Linked DNA regions of Arabidopsis thaliana. The protein of the gene in region 1 interacts with the protein of each later gene in a pairwise test. Each region holds a gene or a part of one and is shown on either strand. Other genes may lie near its edges. The genes, in order: AT5G42530 and WSIP2.

Region 1 (3,260 bases):
ATTGTTGGGTTGTGGTTCAAATTGGTTAAACCAGATTCAATCATTTTTTTTATTTAAAAAAAAAAATCTTAAATATTGAAATTAGATATAAATGTATTTGTTTACCCTAGAATTAGAATGTCAAAAATAAGAAAAGCATTTCTTTACCCTATATAATTATGTTAATTTGTTAAAATAAATGGATGGTGGTCATATGTTAAATGGCTAAGTTAAAAAAAAAAAACTTAATGATTTAATCCATATATTTTTAAAGTTGGGGATTAAAATGTTTCAAATTTGAAAATTCATGTTTTTTTTTCTCTTTCATTTACTGGTCTAGTGGATGGATAGTGATCTTTTAGTATTTCTATAAGTATTTTTGGAGTCACTTTTTATGGGTGGGTTAAAAACTTAAAATGCATTTGGGTACATTTGTTACCGACCCGTTAATCTATTTTGTTTATTAAATCTTATTTGGGTTGTTCATATAAAACTCGACTATTTAAAAATATAAATATTTAGAAGATTTGGTTAAGATTTAAAACTATGAATTTTTTATCATCTTTATTAAGAAAAATTGTGCATATATTATGATTCAAAATTGTAAAAACGGACATATATTATCTAGTTGATGAAAATGTGTAAGTTTAACGTCTTACATTGGTTAAAAAATTTAGACAATAAAGAGTTTTTTAGCATGACGGGTTTGGCAAAATGTTAGTTAATAACAATTATAAACTATCCAATATAAATATTTTATAAATAAATACAGTTTGAAATTTTTTATATATATTAAGTTTAAAAAATAAATCATATTGCAATTAAAATCTAGTTAAGAGTAAAAAAAATATAGTTAAGAGTAAAATAAATCAAATATTGCAATTCAATCTTTCTTTTGGAAGAAGCGATTTGCGCATTAAACGTAACTTTATCAGCAACTGACACCGAACGACATAATATATTATGGACGACCAATAGACCAAAATTCAGAGGTCTAGTTTTTTCTTATAAGAATTAATTAAATAATCACACACGATCTTCGTAAATTAGGGAGTGTATCCAAACACACATTTGGAATGATATGTTCTAAAGTATCATGTGTTATTCAATCATGTGTTTAAAAACTCTTTTAAATTCAAAATCAAATTATTGAAAACAATTATTTTAAGAACAGGTTTGATTGTTAATGATTTTAATGTGTTTTAGAAGATTTCTCGAACTTATATATATAAATAAGTACAGTATATATTTATATAAATCATATGATGCGGTATGGTAGGAACATATCGGATTAATGAATAAAAATTATTTGATTGCATTCTACATTTTAAGAAATTTGAAAGGATTTTAAAGTCTTTTGTGATTTAAATTAATTTTGCATATATAGTTACTATAAGAAAATTCAGGATATTATACTTAGTGTTGGTCATAGATCGGATAATCGAAATTTAAAGATATCTGATCTGTTTTTAAATAATCCGAATCTAGATCTGAAATCAAGGATATCCGGATGTAATCCAAGGTTTAATTATATATGTGATCGGTTATTGTCGTCTAACCTTTTAAAAAAAAGCCTATGAAATATGTAAATAATTGTTTGGGAAAATTTTGCTCCTTTAGTTCTAATCTAAAAAATGCTCCCCTAAACTAATTACAGAATATGACGTAGTAAATATAGGATACTAGAAATTTATAAAAAGATAAATAATATGAAGAGAATCCAATGCAATGCACTTGTCCCACAAACCAAACCATGCATGGCGAATTGGTGATTGAAGACTTTTCACTGAATAATACTACCAAAACTTCGAGACTCATAAGTGATACACACAACTAAGTCGTCGATGGCTATAAGCTTTAAGTCTATCGCTAGACTGTCCACAGGTTTCCTAATCTTCTTTGTCTTTTAGCCTTTCTATATTATCCAACATATCTTTAAATTTCTTTAATTGACATCTCCCTAGCCTATATAAAGGCATAAGCATGAGTGGCACTGATAAGCAAAATAAGAGGGAATATTAAGATGACATCTTCTATGGTCTCTTCCATGGCTCTCTTTCTCCTTCTTCTTCTTGTGTTTCCGCATATGGATAAAGCCCTTGGCGCACAAGAGGAAGCCCAGAAACAAAGTGAGTCTTTTAGATGTCCCGAGGTCATTAGTATCATTTTATGTTTATTAGTTAGGTTTATTATTATTAGTTGTGTTTAATTAATATTGATTTTGGTTTGATTTAATGTTTGTCCGCATTTGAATAGACTAATGAGCAGTGAAATGATGAAAAATTGACACTTACCATCCTACAGGGATTCCTCGTTTCAGATGTTCTCCACGAATCCCCTTTTGTACAAATCCAAACCTACCTTCTCCTCCGCCCCACAGGTCTTTCAAAGGCACACTCGAACCTGGTCATTGACTTCACTCTAGCTTCGAATGCGTGTGAACGTGTGCATGTTTCTTACATTGTGCTTTGGTTTGTGGTTTCTATCCTTGTTTATCTTTGCATGTGTTTGTCATATTTTACAGTTTTATCGAACCGTCGCTTGAATAAATAAATTTGCATGTCCTTTTATGTTTAAGACCGCCTCTCTCTACTTACGTTGGATCGTTCAAACATTTCTTAACATTTGGCACTAGAAATCCATCTCTGACAGGCTGAACCACAAAGCCTAGTATATATTCATTAAAAAATAAATGTGAAAATATGAAATATATGGTTAGTTCATTTAAGCCTTTGATGGAATGAATAATGACGACTTCTTCCCAAATCTCACAAGGGACTGATCTAACTTTTTATTTGTCCAAATTATGGGAATGACATTATTTCCCACAATCATTGTCCATCTGGGACCCTTTGTCGGGCCTTACGTAATAGAGCATTTCTCAGCTAAGACAATGACGATTTAACTTAGACTATTATCTTCTCTATTAGTGCCGATCTGCTTTTTCTGATATCGAAATTGTAAAGCCCAAAATTCATACAATGTAATGAGACGAAAACACTGCATATAATGTAATAGTACTCACCAATAGCCACAAACAAGAGCTTCCGAGGTCGAACCATAACAAAAAGCCTAGCAATGTAATCAAACATACATTGAAACACTTCTGTAAACGTAGTAGGAGAAGATTTGTCTTCAGGATGGAAACACCGATATATATATATATATATATACTTTTTATATGACTACAATATATTTCAAAACTTGATTGATAGCAAACAGTATAAACATTTGGATCATGACTCAAATTTAATTTGAGTTTAAATGGACAAAATAGTGTG
Region 2 (3,938 bases), on another chromosome or scaffold:
ATAGAGAGAAACAGGAAGAGTAACAATTATCGAGTCAATGATTCAAACATACCCATCAAATCCTTTTCCACAACAGCTATTTAAAAGTTGCATCTTTCGAACAAATAGCTCTGTCTCCTAGATTTTTCCTCGTACGGACCAAAAAAAAAGGTAACGCTTTGTCTGGAGAAGGTAACAGTTTAATAGAACAAGTCTGAGTAGCTCTAATTTCGTCTCGATGTGAGATTGATAAACAGAGAGAGAGAGAGACAGAAGTACAAGTAGACTATTTATTTTGTTCTTTTTTATTATTTTTGCACACTTTTTTTTTTTTTTGCTCGCATAAAATAAACAAATTTTAAAAATATATATATAGTATTAAAAAAGAAGCTGATATGGAAAAGTCATAAACAATAAATAAAACTTTAACCAAAAGAAGAATAAAATTTTTGAACGTTAGTATCCGTTGTATAAAAGTGTATATATTAAGTTCCAACTGTATTTTTTTCTCATATCTATTTATTTATTTTTCCTTTTTATTATATGTGTCGTTTTAAAGTTTTTGTTTTACTCTTCTGTAATGTATTATACAGAAATAACATAATTATAAATAAGCTGGATTTTACCAATTATTTAATATAAAACGGAAAGGGTATGTTGTTGAAGATACTTGATGTTTTAAAATTTGAAGTTGTTGTAGTCATTGTTAAGGGTCGGCTGATGAGTCAGGACAACTCATTGAAACCATTTATTCGATGTTTCAAATATTAAACAAATAGACAGAAGATTCTACTATCTTCTTCAAAAATATAATATTAAACACAAGTCTTTGTTTCTTTGCTAGCTCTAGTTACAGAAATTTTGAATTAAAGCTATGAAAATAACTTTACGTTTAGTAAATTGCTAAAATATTCAGAGCGATCAGAAAGGAATGTTTGCTCTCTCATCTTAAAATTATATATTTGAGGTGATGCTTCTTCACCAACATGGGCAGATGGGCTTATGGAACCATTTGCTGATTAATTGCAGTCATTGATAACTGTCTGGGTGTGTCATTGTCATCAAAGTGATTGTTCAAGGAAAACATGTTTGGGACGAAATTGATTCCCAATCATGTTTAGCAATTGGGCCAGTCAATTCCCCCGATAATCTAGACCTAAAAGCCCAAACCAATGTAAGCAATACTGGTGTAGGAATACTTGTAAGAAGATTTGATATGACTCCTACTAGAACCATAATGTGGATGGACTGTTGAAGTAGCATAGTAATTACTAGCCAAAACATCCATGGGAAAAAAAATAAAGTACAAATATAAATTTTGATTTTTTTTTTTTTTATAAATAGAACAAAACTAAACATGTGAATAGGCCATATCTCTTAAATTCCTAACAAATTAGCATAATATATTCACGGAAATGCGTTACAAACCGTATTATAGAATAAAACTCCACTTTTTACTGTGAATTACTATAACAAAAAAGAAAGAATACACATTTGTAAAATTCACTTATTTGTTACCACATAAGATTTATATTTTTCCAAAAGTAAATTATCCATAAAACCTTTAATTTGTTTTTTTGACAATAAAAGATGAAGAAAATAAAATTTAATTAATTTGCGTACTACATAACTGGAAATAAAAATATCACATCTGATTTACTGCTATTCTTCTCTAAATTAAAAACTTCAAAATCCATTACTTAAATAATTAATTCATAAAAAAAATATTTGCAATATTAATTGACGGTTAGTTGATGTCATAAAAATAATATAATGGCACTAAATTCTATACAGAAACAGAAATAAACCAATTATGAGATACTCTACTTTAATGTATAGTTTGAAAAACAAAAAAAAATCCCCAGCTACGTTCAAAACCTAACGAGAGAGCATTAAATTAGACAGCAGTGTTGTACTAGATTCGCAACAACATCAATACGTCACTTAAATTAAAATAAAATACGAAAACATTAAATTAAAATAAATTTTAGAAAAAGTAATTAAAACGAAGGTTACTTATTATAGTGGGGAGATTAAGCTTTTTGAGTAAATTCCTATCTACAAAATACACGCTTCTATTAAAAAAAATAGAAGCCCAACGACCACACAAAAACAAATTAATTAAATCATAAAAACTCATAAATTAAAATAAAAAGCAATAAATCCAAAAAAAAAAAAAGGAAACTCCGAAAACGAGACAGCATCAGAAATTATCGCCATAAATAGCCCCCACGTCTCTCTCTCTCTCTTCTCCAAAGTCTTCTTCTTCTTCTTCTTCTTCTTCCTCTTCTTCCTCTCTGCTTTGTCTCTCTCCTTCTTCAAAGTCAAAATTCAACAGGTATTTATATTTATAAACTTTCCTTTTTTTCTTTAATCTCTTTCTCGGGAGCCTCTCTCGTATATTCTCGCACGTGCACATCTCGTGCCACCTGGGTTTGGGGGGATTCGTCTTTCGAATTCGATCGATTTCGTTTTTTTTTTTAGATCTGTCTTTCCTTTTTTGGGGTGTGAAGAAGATGTTTTCTTTTATAAAACCCTAATTCTCTCTTTGTGTCTTTGTGTTTGATTAGTGGTTCATGAGTGGTATTGTGATCGATCTGTTACTTTCGGAGAGCGAGCAATAAGAAGAGGATATGTCGTCACTCAGCAGAGAACTCGTGTTTTTAATACTTCAGTTTCTCGATGAAGAGAAATTCAAAGATACTGTTCACAGGTAATTTATATTATATCATTGTTTAATTGCGGTCCCTCTTCCTTTGATTGTCGGGATTAGAGTAAAGTAGGGATTAAGATTAATTAATTTTGATTTTGTAATTTAGCATTATTTCTTCAATGTTAATCCAGAAGCAGTTACAACTTTGGATATTTTTTTTGACTAATTAGGTTGGAGAAAGAGTCTGGTTTTTTCTTCAACATGAGGTACTTTGAAGATAGTGTAACAGCTGGTGAATGGGATGATGTAGAGAAGTATCTTTCTGGATTCACTAAAGTTGATGATAATAGATACTCTATGAAAATATTTTTCGAGATTCGGAAGCAGAAGTACCTTGAAGCACTTGACAAGTAAAGTTTCACTTGTGTTGTTTAGTTTTATTGAATTGAAGTGTGGTTTTGAGTATTGATTTGTTTTCCCATCTTTTGTTTTACCATAGGAAAGATCATGCCAAGGCGGTTGATATTCTTGTTAAGGAGTTGAAAGTGTTCTCGACATTCAACGAAGAGCTTTTTAAGGAGATTACCATGCTTTTAACCTTGACTAACTTCAGGTACATTCTTTACTTTCTTAGCACTTTTTTTTTATGGTTTCATTGACCACTGGATTGTTATAAACCATGCGCTTGTGGTGTTGATGTTTCATTTACTTGCAATAATTCAAGGGAAAATGAGCAGCTTTCCAAGTATGGAGATACTAAGTCCGCAAGAGGTATCATGCTTGGGGAACTTAAAAAACTGATTGAAGCAAATCCTCTCTTCCGAGACAAACTTCAATTTCCCAGTTTGAAGAATTCTAGATTGAGAACCTTAATAAATCAAAGGTACAAGCTTTGTTTTTTTAACTTTTGCTCCCGTTTTTCTTTTGGTGGAACAACTAACTGAACGTTGCTTCTGCTGAATCATAGTTTGAACTGGCAACATCAGCTTTGCAAGAATCCTAGGCCTAACCCGGATATAAAAACACTATTTGTTGACCATACGTGTGGGCATCCCAATGGTGCACACACTCCTTCCCCTACAACTAATCATTTAATGGGTTCAGTCCCTAAAGTTGGAGGCTTCCCACCATTAGGTGCTCACGGTGTAAGTTGCTCTAAGATTACAGCTTCTGTTGGATTAGTTTTTAGCACATGAATTTAACTTTGCTAGTTTGTATGCTCTTGTTCAGCCATTTCAGCCAACACCAGCTCCTCTTACAACATCTCTTGCAGGATGGATGCCTAATCCATCGGTACAACACCCTA

Evidence for each region.
Region 2: the proteins of AT5G42530 (region 1) and WSIP2 interact in a two-hybrid assay, tested with the Arabidopsis thaliana proteins (one study listed by BioGRID).

What each region holds. Positions count from the first base shown.
Region 1 is NC_003076.8:17,004,081-17,007,340, reverse strand, and holds AT5G42530 (uncharacterized protein), read left to right. Parts: upstream 1-1,830; 5' UTR 1,831-2,002; coding exon 2,003-2,108; intron 2,109-2,283; coding exon 2,284-2,393; 3' UTR 2,394-2,603; downstream 2,604-3,260.
Region 2 is NC_003074.8:5,370,544-5,374,481, reverse strand, and holds the start of WSIP2 (WUS-interacting protein 2), read left to right. Parts: upstream 1-2,192; 5' UTR 2,193-2,317; exon of another isoform or gene 2,318-2,549; 5' UTR 2,550-2,612; coding exon 2,613-2,692; intron 2,693-2,862; coding exon 2,863-3,042; intron 3,043-3,131; coding exon 3,132-3,245; intron 3,246-3,356; coding exon 3,357-3,515; intron 3,516-3,599; coding exon 3,600-3,777; intron 3,778-3,862; coding exon 3,863-3,938. Other genes in the region: AT3G15890 (Protein kinase superfamily protein), read right to left, coding at 53-93. UniProt on the Arabidopsis thaliana protein: Transcription corepressor of Zinc finger transcription factors GAF1/IDD2 and ENY/IDD1 in regulation of gibberellin homeostasis and signaling.